Oryzias latipes: one gene and its partner. The protein of the gene in region 2 binds, or shares a complex with, the protein of the main gene of each other region. Links are inferred from orthologs where the notes say so. Each region holds a gene or a part of one and is shown on either strand. Other genes may lie near its edges. The genes, in order: vrk1 and phf2.

What was found.
Region 1: the proteins of phf2 (region 2) and vrk1 are in contact, whole or in part, in a crystal structure (PDB 8F8Y), measured with the Homo sapiens proteins. The link is inferred for Oryzias latipes from reciprocal best matches to the Homo sapiens genes PHF2 and VRK1. Residues at the interface, in NP_005383.3 of Homo sapiens: Tyr7, Tyr14, Val16, Thr17, Arg18, Phe19, Met20, Ile21, Glu22, Trp29, Glu39, Ala42, Ile45, Asp46, Tyr48, Lys64, Tyr145, Ser147, Glu150, Lys175, Val178, Asp179, Tyr182, Ser183, Thr184; in NP_003375.1 of Homo sapiens: Pro2, Arg3, Val4, Lys5, Ala6, Ala7, Gln8.

Annotation. Positions count from the first base shown.
Region 1 is NC_019880.2:3,854,128-3,864,688, reverse strand, and holds the start of vrk1 (serine/threonine-protein kinase VRK1), read left to right. Parts: upstream 1-3,712; 5' UTR 3,713-3,827; intron 3,828-4,792; coding exon 4,793-4,952; intron 4,953-5,061; coding exon 5,062-5,117; intron 5,118-5,569; coding exon 5,570-5,639; intron 5,640-6,031; coding exon 6,032-6,119; intron 6,120-6,216; coding exon 6,217-6,325; intron 6,326-7,723; coding exon 7,724-7,816; intron 7,817-8,300; coding exon 8,301-8,433; intron 8,434-9,292; coding exon 9,293-9,413; intron 9,414-9,517; coding exon 9,518-9,576; intron 9,577-10,507; coding exon 10,508-10,561. UniProt on the Homo sapiens protein: Serine/threonine kinase involved in the regulation of key cellular processes including the cell cycle, nuclear condensation, transcription regulation, and DNA damage response.
Region 2 is NC_019863.2:25,200,771-25,211,261, forward strand, and holds the start of phf2 (lysine-specific demethylase PHF2), read right to left. Parts: upstream 6,669-10,491; 5' UTR 6,533-6,668; coding exon 6,435-6,532; exon of another isoform or gene 5,462-6,434; intron 1-5,461. UniProt on the Homo sapiens protein: Lysine demethylase that demethylates both histones and non-histone proteins. Enzymatically inactive by itself, and becomes active following phosphorylation by PKA: forms a complex with ARID5B and mediates demethylation of methylated ARID5B.

The DNA of each region.
Region 1 (10,561 bases), on a different chromosome or scaffold from region 2:
ATGGAGGCGCCTTTGTTTTAATAAAGCCCGGCTTTGCAGCGGGCGCCGACAGCTTCAGCTCCTGCACGGCTGTAGCGTTCATATCGATCCGTGCTGCCGAGCTGTAATGTCATTGCACGGAGCGTTTATTTTATGAGCAGAGTTGCTGATGCCGCTCAAAAACAGAGTTACAAACACTTCTCAAAGCAATAATTCACTCTGCAGCTTTTATCTGTCATGGAATGTGAATGTCCAGCTTTTTCAGGTCAAACTCATGTTTACTAAATTTACACAAAACAGTGAGAATTATTTAAAAAAAAAACTGTCCTGCTGGTGAGTTAGCTTTTAAATGTCATTTTTATTGGTAACATGAACTTTTTCTTGATGTCTCTTTCATATACTATGAAAAGGGTTTGAGCTATTGCATTTAGTACAAAATCTTTTTAATCTTAATAAGCTTTTTGCCTTTATGCTTTCACTTTTTTATGTTCAAATGTTTGCTAGAAATTTTGGGTTTCTTAAATGTAACATGTGATATGCTGAATATTCCACTTACTTCAAACCAACAAGAATTATATGAAACTACAGTTTTTTGGGGGTTTTTGTGGCAAAAATATTACTGGGACTATTTATTAATTAATATTTCACACTAGTTGGTTTGAAGGCATAAGTATGCATTTGTGAACACTATTTGTATTGTGTACATGTTGACATGTGGACATTTTTGCAGCTAACAGGTGTGTTTATAACATTCAAGTGTGTGTGTAGGCAGACCCCGCCCTTTGAGATTTGTATTACATCTGAACCTTACCGTAATGATAAACACCCAGTAGCTTGTTGCTTTATGCTGCTTCATGGTTTTGCACCCCCCCCCTATGATCTCCCTCCTATCCCCCTCTCTCTAACATCCCTCTCTCTTCTTTCCTTCTTTCCTTTTCCGTCCGGTCCAACACAAAATATTTTCAAACATGATTAAAATGAATAAAGTTTGGCCTCAATTACAAAAGGGGTTTATTCAGACATACCTCTGGTTTGTCAGAAGATTCATAACCCCTGTTGTTAAAGTAAAATATGTCCAACACAAGAGGCCTTCAGCTCTCATCTGTTTGCCCAGCTTTTGGACAGGACAAGTTAAAAAAAATATATATATATATATATTGCTGGGACTGCTCCACAAGCCTGTCGGATCAGAGGAAATGAGGTGGGGTTGTACCTGGAGCTGCTGCAGGATCCTCTCTTTGGGTTGGACCTGGTGTTTGCTGCAGCTCTGCTGGTAGGCCTCCAGCACCTCCTCCATAGTGACACAGCGCTCAGCTGAAATATGAACAATCAAGTTTGTCTGATTTTCTGGAGAATCTGCAGTCGCAGAAGTTGCAGGTATGATCAGACTCCAGCTTTTGTGGTTAAACGTCTTACTTGCTCTGTCTCTGTCCTCAACAAAGCTGGACACGATCTGCTCATCAGGAGGAAAGGACACATGTTTTCCACTTTTGCTTATCCTCTTCTGGGGTTTGTTGGCTTCATCTGCATGCTCCTCTTGCTCGCCGCAGCGCGTCATCTCTGCCTTTAAATCTCCGAACAGAAAGTGGTTGTCAGCTAAGCTCAGGCATCATTCTCTCCTCTGTGGAGACATCACTCAACTTCTTCTGATTTGTACTTTGTGGACAAACAGGTAAAGCAGCTCCCTCCACGATGTGGCACCTGGAAAAAAAAAAACAAGACACTGAAGAACCAATATCTTATTCATGAGTTGTGCGCTGGGTTGCAGTTGAAACCTGATATGTTTGTATCAAATGGCACGACTGTGCACATTTACATACCTATTCAAATGCAGCATTTGCAGCAGGAGTCAAAGGTGCACAGGCAGCGAGATGTTTGCTGAAGCAAAGTTTCTCCTGCTTCTTTATGAAGAAACACTACAGGACAAATTCTGAAAACAACAACAGCTCTTTCACTTCAGCCTGCGTGTGAGGAAGGATGACCTTCATCTGTCACTGTCATCCTCATCCATTGTGAATAAAGTCTTTGAATAAAACTTCATAGAAACTAATTCTTTCTTGTGAAAATGTGGTTGTGTTAAAAGTGAAAACCCTGATAGGGTCAGAGATTTAACCATCAAGCTTTTAAAGCTCCTCCTTTTTTGACTTTCTTCATTTTGTTGACACCACAGGAACTTAATCACATTTTCTGATCAAGCAGACTCAACAGATCGGAGTGCACAAACAGCATCATTGCATTTGACACATTATTTTATCTACAAATGGATGATTTGACTGGATTTTTATTATTTTAATATATACAAACACAGGTGCAAAATATAAACAGGTAAATGACTCGGATTTGGCAGCGGTTAGACTTTGGTTGGTGCACAGGCCAGCATGGTGCTCGGCTGTGGTAGAATCTCCAGACCAAACACCCTGTGGATCTAGGTTGGCCCACCTTTGACACTCTGTTGCTAGCATTCAGGTGCCATCTGACTCTTTTCTGAAATAGTTTTGTTGCTTCTTACCGGGAGCGAAACAGACAGGTTGTTGCACATATTTTAGAATTAGCCATCTATTTTTTGAGCAAGTGAGGGATATTCTTATCCTTAAGGCAGGATAATTCCTTATAATTCAACTGATATGGATGCTTAAACCTTACCTGAGGACATCTAAACTCTAATAGACAGACTCACACACATGGGTAATATAAATCTAACTGTGCTGATGACATGACATTGACAACCTTTTTAACTGCATTTTCTATTAAGGATGTGAATGTTAGAGAAGTTCCTGCTTCTAAATCAGGACAAAAGTGAAGTTTTAGCTCTGAGGCAGAGAAAGTCAGTATAGTTGCAAAGTAACTATACTAAGGGACAAAGTCAGGATCTTCAGGGGGACATTTTCCAGGATTTTCCTGGACTTTCATCCAGGATCAGAAAGACAGAGTCACTTTAATTTAGTTGTTTTGTTACTTTTACCATATTAACCTCTGATAGTCCTCAGATCCTCATGTTCAGGCCTCTTTACTGATTCAAGAGTCAGACCCACAGTGAGATCTGTTCAAATACTGTGGGCTCCAATTTATTTACAGTGTGGAGACTTTAAAAAAAAAGACTTGAGACATATAACTTTTAATTTTATCAATATTTAACTGTTCCCATTTTTTATTTTTAGGTTTATGCATTTATACTGTGTATAGAGTCTATTTTCTGAAAAATGACAATAGTAATTGGGTGTTCCTTTTTATTGGTAAATACCGCTTAGTATGTTCCCATCCTCAAAAATAATGCATCTTTTTAAACTTTAATGATTAATTAAAAGTTTTCTTTGTTTGAAATTCATTTCTGTTGTACTCCATTTTTTCCTGCAGTTTGACCATGTTCCTAGGATCTTTCCTATTAAATACTACTTTTAGATTGATGTTTTCAAGAAGGTAGATGGGATTTCTTTTGTTTGTTTGTGGCCACAAAAAAAATTAAAAAAAATTAAACCATATATTTAAAGTAATTCTCAACTATAGTTACTGCTTCTTTTTAAATAAAAAATAACTTTCAGAAACCTTTTTTATGTTTTTAATGCTACGTTCTGCATTTGCAATGTATTAAAAAAAATAATTTTGTTTTAATTTTTTTTTTTAAAGTTTTTTCTACATTTTTATTTTCTAAACAAATATTTATTTGGGGACAGTAACGTTTCATTTTGGGCAATACAGTTTAAAAAAAAATCCCGTATCTCTACTTCCGGTAGTCATTCCACCAATAGACAATCGAGGCTTAGTGACGCAACTTCCTGACCGGCAAGTTTGCGGGAAGTTTGTTCCGTAAACACTTAAGCCCTAAATCAACCGCGATCATTTATATTGCGGTAAGTATGTTTTGTTAACACCTTAAGAATATATATTTAGATGGTAAATCGGGACAGACAGCAAAAAAACGCCGTTATTTTGCGAAATATCGTAACAGTTTGACGGAACAAATCAAAACGAGGCAGTTAGTTAGCTAACCTCAAGCTAACCGGTCATCTAAAAATGCTCGACGCCGTTTGTCCATCAACAACAACTGTGTTTACTGCGTATTACGTTCAGATTGGTGATGCTGATTAGTTATTTGCTGCCTGGAGTTCGTGTTCGTGTTTTTTTTTTGGTAAATATTCCATGGATGGTTCGTGTTTGTTTTCTGGTTTTGTAAATGCGTCACATAAATAAACAAAGTTCCCACTTTATCCAAATAATGGATTTCTGCCATCAGATTTGAGGTTAACTTAAAGCGAGCAGTCTGCTGAAAGCTTCACTGCTGATTTTAAACCGATATATGTTAATAAAGTGGGACTTCTTACGTGTTAAGTTTTAATGAGTCTTCCGTCGAAAGAGCAAACAAATAATAATCTCCGTAATATTAATTCATCTGATTTCCAAATCTCAAAATTGCAATGCTATAATTGTACTTTTCACTTGAATACACATAATGTCTTTCTTTTTCTTTTTTTAAACTATTTTCAAACATGCAAATGACCAAAGTGAAACTATAATTGAAGCTTTAATGAATAAAAAATAAAAAATAAATACAATAATTTTTATTGTGTTGGTTCCAGGTTTTAAAAAATCCGAATTCTAAAATCTTTTTTTTTTGTTACTTTCTTCTCATAATCAAAAAAGGAGTTTCCTAGAAAATGATCCTTTTAATCTGATGAGTCGTATAAAACATAACATCTCAAATGTGTCTAAACATAGATTGTGTATCAAAATCATTGTTTTTGTAGGTTTTTTTTCTTCTGTTGGGTGAATCCTGTTAACCCCTCTGATCGCCCCCCCTCTCCCCCCCATGTCTCAGATGCCCCCTAAAGCCAAAGCGACCGGCAGAGCCAGAGCTCCTGCGAAGAGGAAGCTGGCCGAGGAGTTTCCCCCTGGAGAAGTTCTCACAGACACCGGGAAGAAATCCTGGAAGCTGGGAGCTCCGGTGGGCCAGGGGGGGTTCGGCCTGATTTATCTGGGTGAGAAAAGCTTTGCAGTTAGAGATGAATGTTTGACCCTTGTGACGCGACTGCCAGCATTTCCAGATGTGTTACGCAAACTGCTGTCCATCTCTTTCTTCATCCTCAGCGGATCAGAACTCTGACAAACCTGTTGGTAAAGAAGCGCCGTACGTCATCAAAGTGGTAAGGCTTTACAAGTCTGCTCATCTTTCCTGTCATCATCTCCACTGACTTGTGACTACGGGGGGCAGAACCTTTTCAGGGGCCGCCCCTAAACTCTGGAACCGTCTCCCTTTTTCCGTGAGGTCTGCCAGATCCTCATGAATTTAAATCTTTGTTAAAAGATTTTACATTAGGTTTTAACATCAGAGTGGATGACAATCAGGCCAGCTCTATTAGTGTTTCTATTAACGTGGATTTTACTGTTTTACTTTGGATCTCTGGTAGATGTTAAAGCGGTTTACCAATAAAGATTGATTGATTTGGTGTTTCTGACTTTTTGCAATACTATTCTGGAGCAGGAGAGTGTTTTCATTTTTCTGTGTGAGTTCGCTGTGATCCTGTGACTTCCAGGATCTTACATTCAAATCCAGAGCTGATGTGTCGTTTAAAAAAAACTACATTTTCTGCCACAGGAACCCAGCGAAAACGGGCCGCTGTTCTCCGAGCTGCATTTCTACATGAGAGCCGCCAAGCCCGATCTCAGTAAGTTGCAGCTTCACTCTTCGTCAGTACTCCTCGCCGTCACGGGAACCTCCAATCCGATGCAAACAAATAAAAGAATCAAACTTTCTTAATTAAAGAGAGGATGTTAGAGCGGAGGATAACAGCTGGCCTGAAGGGGGAACTGGGCTCTGGGGGCCACAGCTCTGCATTGAATATAATAACATTCCAAATGTCAATCCCCCCGACAATTAACTGCAGTATTACTAAGAAACCAAAGGCTCATCTTTTATTCATGTATTTGTCCCTGCAGCAGATTAACTGTTGGTCACGCTGGCCAGCGCTAAAAAACAAAAACAAACGTCTGTCTTCACAGTCCAGGATCTGGGCTCTCCAGTCTGTTCTGAGTCTTTGTTTCTTTGCTTGTCTTGCAGTCCAGACCTGGATGAAGACCCAGAAGTTGAAGCATTTGGGGGTTCCCCGTTATTGGGGCTCCGGTCTGCATGAGAAAGGAGGGAAAAGGTAAGACCGGGTTCCCCCGTCTTTGACTCTGGACTTGAGATCGGGAGGGTTTTCTTGTGGAACACACAGCAGAAACCTCCCTCTCTGCCCCTGGCAGGTATCGCTTCATGGTGATTGACAGACTCGGCACAGACCTGCAGAAGAAGTTTGAAGAATGTGGGAAGAGATTCCCCAGAAAACTGGTCCTGCAGCTCGGTCTCCGCCTGGTTGGTTGATGAGGAGAATGGTGTTCTATTAGCTTAAAACACATAGCACTGCATTGTGTCAAAACACAGAGTTTAGGGCTGCAGAAATCTCTGTTGCTTAACTCTAAACACAGATTCTAGAAAACTAAGTTTACTCCGAGCTTATATAATAATGCATCTTTAGTTGACCGTTTACCTCGCCTTTGCTCCTGCTCCTACACCTGGCTGTGGATCCTGCCTCTGGCTCATCTCTGGCTCGTCTCTGCTCTGTACCTGACCGTTTACCTCGTCTCTGCTCCTGCTCCTACACCTGGCTGTGGATCCTGCCTCTGGCTCATCTCTGGCTCGTCTCTGCTCTGTACCTGACCGTTTACCTCGTCTCTGCTCCTGCTCCTACACGTGGCTGTGGTTCCTGTCTCCGGCTCGACTCGCGCCTTTGACTGTCCCCACAACCACGGCTGGATGAAGCTCGTCTGCTGGACTTTTATATATGTAGTTGTAGATTTAGATAAGTTAATTCTTCTCTAAGATTTCTGGTAAATCGCCTGTCCGTCCTGGGGGAGGATCCCTCCTTCATGTGGGCACCCCTGAGGTTTCTTCGTTTTTTCCGGAATCCGGTTTTTTTGGGAGTTTTTCCTTACCGCGAAGGGCGGTCTAAGGGCAGGGATGCCAGTATAGCTTAGTCAGTTTGTTAGTTCATTTTAGTATTTTTCTATTGAACTCTTTGTATTCGTGATCCTTTTGATTTCATGTTTTACTTCGAAGCCCATCGAGACGACTGTTGTTGTGATTTTGGGCTATACAAATAAAATTGAATTGAATTGAATTGAATAGTTGTGGATCTGCCAAAACTTCCAGGTAGGGTTAAAAAACGAGAACAACAAACTTTAAAAACAGCGATTACTTGTATTCTCTTTTTACGTTCACCCAGCTACTCCGGTTTTCCCGGTTAGCCTTGAATGAAGATCTTTTAAAGCATTATGCCAATTGTTTAGCATGTAGAATTAAACATGTAAAACTTTGAAGCAGTTTCCTTCTCTGTGAAGTCTGACGCTGGGAAACCTGAACGAGACTTGAACACGCTACGACAGCTCCAGCTGCAGCTACAGCATCTCTGCTGCAGCTACAACAGCTCCAGCTGCAGCTACGACAGCTCCAGCCGCAGCTACAGCATCTCTGCTGCAGCTACAACAGCTCCAGCTGCAGCTACGACAGCTCCAGCTGCAGCTACGACAGCTCCAGCTGCAGCTACAGCATCTCTGCTGCAGCTACGACAGCTCCAGCTGCAGCTACGACAGCTCCAGCTGCAGCTACGACAGCTCCAGCTGCAGCTACAGCATCTCTGCTGCCATCTAGTGTTTGTTTGTCTATAGCAAGACAATAAACGAGATGTGGTTGAACTCTCCTGTGTGTTTTCAGCTGGACATTTTGGAGTTCATCCACGAGCATGAGTACGTGCACGCCGACGTCAAAGCGTCCAACCTCATGCTGAGCCACAGTGACCCCAACCAGGTCAGTTCATGTGGGGAAACCCCCGGCCTTCAGCTCTGCTGCTGGAAGCCGGGATGGATGAAGGTTTTGGTTGAAGCTCCCTCATTCCGCTTCATTAGACTCTATTCTAACCTGCTGTGTGTGGGTGTAGGTGTGTGTCTAAAGATTAGAAAGCAGCAGAGGTTTTTTTATTTTTGTATTATTTTTAGCAAACACAATTGGAACAGGCGCGGGTATTTAATTTGGAGATTAATAATGGATTGTTTGTGTTGTTTTTAAATGACACTATAAAAATGAGCCCTCAGGATTCTATGCTTAATTGTCCTCTGTTTTGTTTTTTTGTTTCTGTTGATGGACTGTAGCTGTGTCACTTATTTAAGCCAGAAAGAATCTAGACTGAGCAAAGATTTCGAGTCCAAAAAGAACTTGTGGTTCTGGAAGTTGTCCGTTCTTCTCGTTGATCACAGCGGGTTCATCTGGTTTCCCGGTTCTGCTGGCTGTGCAGGTTTATCTGGTAGATTACGGCCTGGCATACAGATACGCTCCTGATGGCGTCCTGAAAGAGTACAAGGAGGATCCCAAGAAATGCCACGATGGAACCATAGAGTTCACCAGCATCGATGCCCACAAAGGAGTCGGTGCGTACGAGTCCGCTCTGAAACTCAGATCCACTTACTGACTGTAATATGATTAAACTCATATCCTGAATGAAACCCAGCCGTGGAAATGAGCGAATCCAATCATTTTAGACACAATAAGATCAGGCCGAGGAGAAAATCTGACCTTTTTGGATGTAAACATCTCCTTTGCCAAAAGCCCAAATATAACTACAATGTGGAAAAAAGAGAGTTTATTTCTATGTTAAAGAAATATAAAACACGAAATGTAAAAACAGGATTGATGCTAAAGTTATACTTTTTGTTGCTGTTTTACATTTTGAGTTAAAACCGATTGTTGAGATTTTCTGGAATCACAGTCAAAGTGTTTTTCTAAACTCAGAAATGAAACAAAGACAGTCAATATTGTTAGTGCAGAAAGTCGAACCGGTTCTTGGAAAGCTCTCATTCACAATGGGCTGCACGATGTGAGGAAAACTCGCGATGTACGACATTAATGATCAACATTGCGATGATGACATAACTTTTGATGCATGTACAAATACCAAAACAACCAAAAACAGAAAATGCAACAATTTAATTTGAATAAGAGTCAAAATACCTTAATTTACACTCCAAATGACCCTCGTCTACATAAGAGGCAAACATCTAACATGAAGGCTCCGTCTGATTGGTCAAACGCATAAATGGATTTATTCAACTCATTAAACACTTCAAGCTGCCATCAGATTAAAGGTTCGGCATTTATTGTGATTTTCGCCGTATTTTGCGTTATGGACATCGCAATAACGACAAATTTGCGATTTATTGTACAGGCCTAGCTCAGAATCTTGTTACTCGTGCTCATGGTTCAGCTCCTCACGTCTTGGTTCGTCTGCAGCTCCTTGCAGGCGGGGCGACTTGGAGATCCTGTCCTACTGCATGGTTCAGTGGCTGTGCGGACGTCTGCCTTGGGAGGACAAGCTCCAAGACCCCGTCTACGTCAGAGACTCCAAGATCAGGTGGAGCGCCGGCGCCGCTTCACGCGGGGCGTCCCAGATGTCAACTGATCTGTGTTCAGGTGGAAGTAAACAGCTGCTCTCTGTGTGTTTTTTTTCTCCCACAGGAGTCAAGAAAACATCTCAGAGTTTATGTCCAAGTGTTTTTCCTCTCAAGAGAAACCCGGTAAGAGACGAACAATGCACGCCGGGGTGGGTTGGCACCTTCCTCCTGCTCAGACAGAGAAAAAAAACATCTTAGCTGTGAGCCAGAAGAAAACACTTTAACCTTATAAAAAGAACTGAAATGAAAACCAGACGTTAAATTCTGCTGATATGGTAGAAACAGTCAAATGGATCCACAGACGTCTTTGTTTGGGGCATTTGTCCTTAAAGTCCCACTCCCGTCATCTTTTCATCCATTTAAAATGTTTCAAACTAGAAATGAAACAAATGTTTAGAGCTGTTTGAAAAGGGCAACAAATACTCTCCTTGATGGGAATTGACTGTAATGGTCCTCATTCATATCAGCCAATGGGATTCAAGCAGTCGTTGATATAAGAGCTTCAATTAACTGAAGAAACTGTTCTGTCGGTTTATAATGATCAAAAATGAATTCCCTGATGCACACTTTGTTATTATTACATATATTTTCTCAGATATTATTCAAGTTTCAAATTTGCATTTCACAATAAAAGCATTAAAAAATATATCCTTATGTAATTATGAACTGTAGAGCAGCTGGGTCTTTGGCAGAGGTTAAAATCCTCCGACAAACGCTCAGCAGGCGTTAGCCCGAACTGCAGATGTCTGTTTTGACGTTTGTTTGGGGAAACGCGGCGTCGGCTCTTTAAACCTGAAGGAAGAGACGTCGGCCCGGCTTCCTTCCGCGTGGACGAGCAGCAGAGACGTTTGTGTGCAAACTGAGCCCGACCGGTCGCTGCAGCCAGAGTCCGCATCGGGATGACAGGCGAGGTCGGTTTGCTCAGGTCCAGCAGACAAACTGCATTTAGTTCACAGACGGCGAGCCAAGCGGGGCCTTATTTTGAAAGAAAACACGACGTGGGATTCATTATTCATTTGCTCCATGTTTTGGTCTAAAAATCCTCCTGTTGCAGATGAGATCCAGAGGTTCATGGAGGAGGTGAAGTCTCTGGGGTACAAGGACAAGC
Region 2 (10,491 bases):
AATAATAATAATAATGGATTGGATTTATCTGCGCTTTTCAAGACACCCAAAGCGCTTACATTATGTCCATAATTCATTCACTTCTCATTCATACTTGGTGATGGTAAGCTACGGTTGTAGCCACAGCTGCCCTGGGGCAGACTGACAGAGGCGTGGCTGCCATTTCACACCTACGGCCCCTCTGACCATCACCGGGACCATTCATGCACATTCACACACCAGTGGAGCCACACTGGAGGCAGGGAGGTTGAAGTGTCTTGCCCAAGGACACAATGACATTTTGGCTGGTGGGAGCGGGGATTGAACCGCCAACCCTTTGATCATTGGACGACCCGCTCAACCACCTGAGCCACTGTCGCCCAATGTGGAAAAGAGTTAGCCTGACAATCCACTATTGGAGAATATGCTTCTCCACACTCATCAACTCTTTCACAACTCACAGAAAAGGTCCATGTGGTTTGAAAATACATTCTATCTAGATTAGTTACACCATTGGATAATGTGTCCTCAGTGTTACAGATGGATGGAAGACAGCACCAAAACACTTCAAACAGTTGAGACGCATTTGTTCTGAGCTGGACTCCAAAGAAATATAAATCTTCAGACACTGATTAAACATTTACCGGTATGTATATGAAAACGTTACTCGGGCACTACAACACCTCTTAATGTTTTTCTTGTTTTACACAGTGTCTCATCATTGACACACAAACAAATGAAACACTAAAACAGTGTTTTTTATGCTCTAGAAAAAGTACACTCTAAAAGAGTCACAAAAAAACGTAGAATACTGAGTTTAAAGCCAAAACAGAATCAGGTATCATTTTAATAATTAATGGAACTTCACTATGGGATCCGGAAAGACAGGAGGGACAAAAAATATCTTCCTTGGTCATGTTTAGGTTTTATTGTTTTTTTTTGGGTCATGTTGAAGTTTGTTTGGTGATTGGATTTACATTTACATTGGGTTTACATGTTTACATTTGCTGATGATGCAGTTTTTGTTATCCTGAGTGCCATTCAGCACAGCTTGACCTACTCTGAAATGATTCTGCGGGACAATCTGCATCTTAAAACAACAGTTTAAATCGAGTTACATGACATACCAGCAGAGGTTGTTAAGGTCAAATGACAAGACTGTTCAGATTCTTGTTATATATTATAGTTTAATTTAACAGAATAAAAACATTTTCATACAAAACATTAATTAAAAGGTTTATATTTGGCATTCATAAACCTGAACAAGAAACCTTATATATGAACACATCAAGCTCTTTTGTTTTTCATTTGTATTCTGTTAAATATTTTTTTAAAGAATAACTTTTGCATCTTTAACTAATGCATTTCTTTGACTATCAAACAGTTTTCCACAACTGTGAACATCAGATCATTTAGTCAAATTCAAGACTAAACACATTGCAAAACAACATCATTGATGAAGTAACAACATTTGGGACCTTGTAAGTCTCAGGGGCAAAGGGCAGGAAGACGTAATTTCAAAAAGTGTTGGAAGAATTCTGCCAAAACTTCTTTGTTTTCTTCTATGACCGTGCCGGCTGTGTCACAGCCTGCATTATTACAGTCTCATACAACTTGAATTGAGTCTAAAGAGAACATGCAAGCTTTGTATTCCATACTGAGCAGCATCCCACTACCTCCGGACACATGTTCCACCCACATGGATTAAAGTGAACCTTGTAACACTTTTATGGACTTTTTTCTTTTTTGCAAAATAAGCTGACAACATTCACCAACAGCTATTGAATCAAAAACTAGTGTATTTGTTCTTCATATGTTTATAATACTTTTTCCTTATGCTGTTATCCCACCTTGTGAATAAAGCAGTTGTAGGCATTTGCTAAACAGTTTAGTCTAAGCAAATTTACATTCTCATAACCAAAATGTCACACTCTTCCCTTTCATCTTGCCTCATTCAATCCCCCGTGAAAATATAATTAAATAATCATTTTCTCAAAGAGTCTTGTTTAGTGACTCCATTATCAAAAGAATTGTCAATTATTGCTGCTCTAACCAATGGTGCTCCCCAGAGCTCTATTTTGGGACCCTTCTCTTTATAATTAATCAATGCTAACTCTATCTCTGAAAGTTCTTTTTACAAAACACATCATTTATGCTACCAAAAAGCTCAACCGGCATCTGTTTATCTCAGTACTGGTTAGGATTTTCCTCAATGCTTTATGGGTTTTCATAATTTGGCACAAATGTAATCTTATTTGAGTGGATAATGTCTGTTGTAATCTGAAAAATGTTCATGGTTTGACTCATTAAGACTGCATTTCCAAACCTTTGTGTAATCTTTTTTGAAAAAGTATTTGCTCCAAAAATTGAATAACAAGTTGAGTGACGTCTGATACCAAACCCCAGTAACAACTGTTCTGGAGTTTCTTGTATCTTGTGATGAATTTGATTCTTTTTTTTCTCATGTTTTTGATCATTTTAGTTGACGTTAGAAGCAAGTTTCTGCTGCATATTATGAGTCTGAAACTTAAATTTAAGGCCCAACTTTTGCTCTCAATGAATCTTCATTTGATCAGCTCATTTATCAGATCATTAATCCGCTGCAGAACCCAAGTTTTCTTGAGCCTGGAGTCAAAAAAGTGTTGGAGACTCTCCATGATATTGTAACAGAGACCAAGACAAATGGTTTTATCAAATAAAAAATGTTATCCAAGAAGCCTACTAAAAATACAAAAAAGCTATGATGTTCTTTTAAAAGTTTAGATTACGGATGTTAAAATATATGCATTTAAAAAAAATGAATTTATTAAATAAATCATCCACAAATTAGTCTATTTTATCTCATTTTTATTTTGTCTTTTTCTTCTTTAGTTCTTCGTTGTGAATGTTTGGCTACTCTAGGTGAGGATGGGACACAGAATTTTGATTTTACCTAAAAACAGCATAATCATAAAAGAACGCTTTTAAAATAGATCAAAAGATGATTGTAGTGGGGCTTCAATTGTTATAATATTCACCAATAATTGAGAAGAAGGTTTTTGGGGTGCACAAAGCAGTCTTCAAGAGCAAAAAACACATTTTTGTTTGTGATGCGTTTGTTTCCCATTGTGATTTCATAGCTAACTGGTTTGAGAAGTTGACCCACTGTCCCACATTATTACAGACACCTGTCATAGGTTGGCAAAATGTAAGCACTCTTAGCAAACAGGCCAGACTTGTACCACACTAGAGTCAACAGTGCCGTGCTCTGGCCCACCTCTGCAGGCAGACCTCTGCTGCACATATTCTTCAAGTCGTGCCTGATCATTGAATCACTTTAGCTAAATACATCATACTTTGAGGTTAGCATGCTTAACGATTGCCTGGTTTGAGAGAGCCCTAATTTTGTTTCTGCTGCTTTAAGCACCTGGAGCCCCCACATCCTTAACATCAGATGCTAATCCGATATCCTGTGAGCATTATTCCTGTTGCAGTGATGTGTTGGTGTCTGTTTCCAAACTATTGTCGTCTTAGGTCGGTTCATTTCTGCTTCGTGGCGGTTTCTGCTTCCTCACAACAGGGATGACAGTGAGGACTGTGATGTGGTTGTCCCACGGAAAAAAAACAACAACTAATGAACAGCCACTGAGCAACAGATAAACATTTCCACACCCAGTCATCATTTAGCACATAGGCAGTTGTTTTTTTATCATCAGTTCCCATACAAACAGCCAGTCTCTCTGGGCTGCCAGGAAGCTGCTATTGATGATTTTCAGCATCATGCATGTTCATATTGGAGGTGCACTAGAAACCTGGACATTCAGAAATACACTTGTGTTCAGCAAATATTCCAGATTCTGTCTTTGGTTGTCGGGTTAAAAATCTGAATGTTGCACTTGTGGAGTGATGATTTGAGTCTTCTTGATCGTAAAAACTAAGCTTGTCATTATTAAGGCTAATATCAGTGCACTTAACACACAGAGATGAGATTGCGGAAATCTGATATTTTTAATCTCCAACCAAAATTATCCCCCAAACAAAATGCTTGCTTCAGCAAATGAGGTTCTATCAGAGGCTGCTTCCAGAGCTTGAGAGTGAGCAGTCCTGCCCTCAGCCCTGCTGAACATTTGTGGGTTCGGGGAGTCATGTTTGAGTCGCTGTGTCCAAAAAAACCATGCTGGCTGCCTCCTGACAAATGCTGATTAGAGAATGGGACGTCATCCCACAGCAGAATGTAGGCAGGCTGGTGACCAGCATGAAAAGGAGGAGGGAAGCTGCAACTGTTTCTTTCACATGCTACTGAGCTTCCTGTTTTGAAAAGGTGTATGGTTGTCAACAAGTCTTTGGAGTTCAGGAATTCAAAGAAGAGTCAGATCTGTCTCTGCAGCTCATCCCTCAAACGTGTCTTTTGCTCACAAATGTGGCGGCATTTGTAAATGAAAAAAATATCAGGTTTTACCTCAAATAAATATTGTTCCAATAAAGAAGTAATCTACCAAGCACACTTTTTAATTGCACTACTTTACCAGGCGTTGAGCTCAAACACTGATTGTTTCTGTGATTTCCTTCAGATTGGTATTTTCTTCTTGTAAACTATAGTTTCTCTGCCTTAAGTCCAACTCCAGTCATCTCTTGTAAAAGCATTCCTGGAGGTCTTTTAATTATGATTATGCCATTTTTAGCCAAAAAGAAAAAAACTTGTGTCATTTTCTAGAGCATCTTTAATGCAGAGCAGCAGGAGTTCAACAGAAAATGACTCTGAGGTGTGGGCGGGACTATCGGCAGGAAGTAAGCCTCCACGCATTTCCCGTCAACCCTTTGTTTACACTCTCTCTCCCTGAGAGCCCCTCACAACCCCAACCTAACATTACCAATGCAACAAATCAGCAGAGCAATATCGGAGCTGTCCAATAGTACAGTTTTGAGTGAGATACCAGCGCTGTCAAGAAAAACAAAGACGTATATGGATCTATTTGTCTTCAAGCAATGCATTTGAATAGAGCGGAGCAGGGGGCTTGTAGCCTACGACTGTAGCATCTACATCACTGCTAGAAACTCTTTTGGATTTATTACATCTGCTTCTGATTCACAATGATTTGTTTACAGACATACCTAGAAAGGCAAATTTAAGTTTAGTTTTCTTTAAATATGTCCTCCATGACACCTTTACACGTTAAAAACACCCAAAACACACACATTTTCATCAAAGCACTACTTTACGAGATGTTTTGCTCAAACACTGATTGCTTTTATGTTTTGTTTTTTGTGGTTTCCTTCAGTTCGGATGGATGTTTTTCGTGCTTGGAGGTTCAAAAAACTAAACTGCAGTTTCTCTGCTTAAAAAATATGAACGTTTTCTCAGTCCTTGTTTGTTTCTGGTCTTCGTCTGTGACTCAAGTGGACTGAGTGAACCTGACAGTCAGTCATCTTGAGTGGGTTTGTGCGTGGAGGGTCAGCGCTCATCCCCGGGCTGCTGCTGTGATCAGGCTGCAGCGGAGGAAGACGAAAGGGTTAACGTTCAGGCGCGTAAATACTCTCCATTGCTCTCAAGGACTTCTTCACTAAAAATGCTTATAATAAACGATTGTTTTTTATATAAAGTCGGCCCGAACGCCGCCGAATGACTTTATAGGGTCCAAAGAAGCGTCGAGTGTGAACATGAAGGAGTGTGAGGGTGGGAGAGACAAAGGCGAGCAAATGTTGGCGTGTGGAAACGGAGGATCGGAGCGATCCTCGCAGGGCTCGTTGGACGGGAAAAGTGATGACCGGTGGGGGGCACGCGCCTGTGCCGTGCGGCAGGGCAGCCAGCAAACCAAGTGTAGTTCAAAGATCCATCAAAGCAGTTAGATATGCTTTTTTTATTTTTGCTTTTCCGCTCGCAGAAACCTTTCCCAACACGGGCTTTGTCAGCCATAGCTGCTGCCCGGCAGGAAGGCTGTCCGGGGCTCGCTAGAGTCGTGATTTCCAGCCCCTCTGAACGAGTCAGCCGTGAGAACCGTGTGACGGACTCATGTGTGCCCACATTCAGGGGCATTGTTGGGGGGGAAAGCGGGCGTGGGGGCAGCTAAGAAGCCTGGAAGTGAGAAAGAAATGAGCGGCGACAGTGCCGAGGCTTCCCCGCTGCCGTCTGCTCCGGACCGGGGGAAGGCTGGCTCCAGCTCGGGGCTGCTCCGGGGTCCCAAACGGCTGTTAGGGGGCAGATACGGCTTCAAGCCCATCACAAAATCACGACAATAAACGCAGACATTTCTAATCCGACGGATCGGTGTTGAGTTATTCGCCAAAAAATGTCACAACCCCGGTCGGCTATATTTAACTCCGCCTTCTTCTTCTCCGAGCGGCCTCTCTCCTCAGATGCAGACGGGCGACTGAGAGCCACAAAGCTGTCAAACGCAGCCGACTGCTCGCCATTTTTGTTTGTTTCCATAAAAGCAAACAGATACAGAAAACAGACTCGCGCGGCGATCCGCTCTTACCTGCCGTGGAACCAGTCCTTGCAGGCATCGCACTCGATCATGAACTGGGTCACGTCGTAAGGTAATCTGCAGATGCAATATACTGGTACAGTCGCCATGTTCAATTCACAACTACGTCGGGATAGACTGGAGGGGCTGCAGGAGGAACAACGTCCTGCAAACAATATGATCCAATATGATCTTCCCCAGAAAAAAAGCCAGGGGCAGTCCCGCCGGACACATGGAGCTATGCGCGCCGCGCCATCGCACCGCGGCCGCGGGAGCGTTCGTGCGGAGCGGTCCAAACGATAACAAGCCCGCCTCAGCAGCTTTTCCTGAAATGCATCGTTATTATTATTATTACTATGTGCATGCCCCCTGGTGACTGACTGCGCGACTCCGCGGCGCTCATAGTAGGGGGATGAATGAGCAGACTGGCTCTGCAAAGACAGAAATAAACAAAAAGCAAAGTTACGTCAGACTGAGGGGAGGTTAAAATCCCAGCAACCAGCCACGGGACCCATGAGCAATACACACATCTCAGTGTTTTTTTTTTTTTTTTTTTTTTTCTCTTTCAAAAAATAGATAAAATATGTAAAGATGAAAAAGAAGAAGAAGTAAAAAGAAATAAAAATAAACAACTAAATATATACATTTGAAGGGATTGAACAAAATGACATAATCAAACGTGAAAAAAAATAAAAAAAGATGTAGATAAATACTGTAGATAGATAGATAGATAGATAGATAGATAGATAGATAGATAGATAGATAGATAGATAGATAGATAGATAGATAGATAGATAGATAGATAGATAGATAGATTGATAGATAGATAGATAGATAGATAGATAGATAGATAGATAGATAGATAGATAGATAGATAGATAGATAGATAGATAGATAGATAGATAAAAAACATGTTTCTGTTTCCATTTTAGAGCATATTTTTTCCACCACAAACTGAGCAATAAACCTGCAAATTATTGGTAATTTAAAAAAATATATTCATAAGTATGCAAACATGTAATTAATAACAAACCAAAATAGTAGCTGGCTGTATCTTATAACGAAGTAATATTGATTCCTTTTTTATTTCATTTTGTTTAAATGAGGTCCAAGTTTGTGGTGTAGAAGTGAAATAATAGCTAAAATGCAAACAATTTTTCTCTTATTTTAGACAACTGTGAAAGTAATGACTAATGACTGAAACAATGTTTGTCACCTGATTTGAAAAGCAGTTTCCATATCATCAGGAATGATACCTGTTTTAATGACAGATTTAAAACATAACATAAAGGTCTGATTTAACAATCTATGGTCATTTTGGTAGTTTTCATGTAAGTGCCATAACTATCAATTGATGTCTTGTTTTCAATTTTTGTACCATATATAGTATCACTTTTTCATCCACCGTAGATAGAAACATTGATTGCATCACCTTGTTCTCTACTTTTTGATTGTCATTCACATTTTTCATTTTTTTTGTCATTTCATTTGCTAAATTAGATCCAATATTTATGAAGAATGAATTAAATTAATTAACAACTGCATCTAGATTTTATATACTGTATCTCTGTTAACTTTTGTAAAATAATTTAGAAAGTTTACTGATCCTGTCTTTTTTCCCATTACCCTGTTGAAAATATCCCATGTGGCATTAGTATTATTTTTAATTTCAACTAAAATTTTATGATAATCGTTTTTTTGTTTTTCTCAAAATGTCAGTAATTTCTTTTTACATTTTAATTTTTTTTTTCAGAAGTCTGATCTACATTTGAAAAAAATGTGTATGTAGTTAATTTTTCTTTTTGCAGGCATTCTGTAAGCCCCTTGTCATCCAGGTTTTTTATGAGTATTATGTTTGCTTCTACATAAAACCTTTGGACAATGTTGATCATATAAAAAACAAATGAGAGGTGAACCGTATGCAGAATTTACATCATCAACATAAACTCTATTCCATTGTTGTTTTAGCAGATCATTTTCAAAGGCATTTACTACTTCTTCAGTCCTGGTTCTTATAGATCTGTTATTCTGAACCAGTTTCTTTGGTGGCATTTTGTAATCAAAAGTTGCAAATACAGGTAGATGGTCACTGATGTCACTTATAACTAGACCACTATTTATATTATTCTCCAGAACATTTGTGAATATATTGTCAATTAAGATTGCAGTAGTTGTAGTAATTCTGCTTTGTGATTAATGGGTACAACCCTCTACTGTATAACCACCACTTGAAGGAAAATGATTGGAGAGGTTGCCAACAGCCTCAGATCTTTGTCCCTGTAGCCACTGGGGGTGCATGAACCTGTATGATGAATGTTTACAAATCTATTATTCATCTTTTGATTAGCCAGTTAGTCCCAAGTAAGTTAAAAGTATCTGTTCTACTTCCTCCAAAAAAAATTCCCTTCTATATTGAAACAAAAACTATCTCTGGTTAAGTTTCTATTTTCAATAGAACTTTTCAAATTAAACCGATTAAAATATTTGTATTTCACCTTCTAATTTTTTATTCTGTTTTATTGTTTTTCTAATTTCTATTTCATTTTTTTAATTACTTTTTTATTTCAAGAAAGTGTGTGTTCATATAAGGTTGGGGTTGATGGTGTGATAAAGGTTACAAATGCTGATAGTATGTTTTTTTTGTAATTTTTTGATAAACACTTTTATGAAGGAAGTTATGAGGAAAAGGAGTTTCATTCACAACAGTTGAAAGTGGCTGAGACACAAAGATTTCTCCTACCAGAACCCAGATTATAGATGTCATCTGAAAGACACGCTTCTGAGATTTTCTTCTTTGAAGATGCACTCCAATGAAATTTGTCTTTTTCCTATGTTCTTGTGGCATCTTTCATTTATAAAGAAAAATTAAGCTTAAAAATGCATTTTGAGTATTTCTTTATTCAAATCACTGTGAATTAGGAGCACAGACAAAAATGCCTTTGGAAAAAGCTTGTAGCGGTGACGTAGAACTGTGAGCCACAAGCTCCCTGGTCCTCTTCATTCTGATGCATCCAAGACGACTAGATCCAGATCGTTTCCCTCGTCTGAGCCGTCATCTGGCTCCAGACTGGATAGCTCAAATATTACTCACCATTTTCGTTTTACTGGTTATATTAGGTAGAGGTTGAGAGGAGCTTTACGCTTGTGGGAGAGCCAGAAAACATTTCTAAAACTTTAATTCACATGTTTGTTTTTTAAATGTGAGTACTCCTGCTTTGATACTTCTAACAGCTGAAGTGAACCAAAGAAAAACAACTGTCCCACTTCACTAAAGTACTCATCCATCCATCAGTCTTCTTCCGCTTATCCGGTACCAGCTCATGGGGGCAGCAGTCTAAGCAAAGATGCCCAGACTTCCCTCACCCCGGCCACCTTCTCCAGCTCCTCTGGGGGCTCCCCGAGGCGGCTCTACTCCAAACTCTCTGCGGGTGACAGAGCTTCTCCCCCGATCTCTAAGGGAGCGTCCAGCCACCCTACGGAGGAAGCTCATTTCAGCCGCTTGTATTTGGGACCTTTCTTTCTGTCATGACCCTAGGTGAGTCAAGGAACAAAGTAGTCAATATTACAAAAACAAGTGCCTCACCTACCTGACTAACAAGAACATGTCGTCTATGAAACAAGCCAAGAAATCAGACAATTGAGATACAAAACGTTTTTTGTTTCAGTGTACAGAAGGGAAACAAAACAATCTCAGTATTGGGTCATTTTTTTAGACTAATAATTTATAAATACAATCACTTATTTTTATAAATGTTTCAGCTGTGGTGTTACAATAATGAAATAATAGAAATCTGTTATAAATTAAGTAATATACATCGGCACACACAACACTTTAAAGTGCCATGTAAAGGATTTCAGTACAAGATAACAGAACAAAAAAAAACATATTTACATGAAAATTACATTGTAAAAAAAATAAGTTTCTGAAATGATACCAAGTTGCCTTCAATTAAATAAGATGACACAACTCTGTTAACAAACTAAATTGACTTTTTGTGAAGAAATCAGCCTCCCTCTCTCTCTCTCCTTGTTTTATTTTTACATTTAGAAATCAATAATAGTCAGCCGG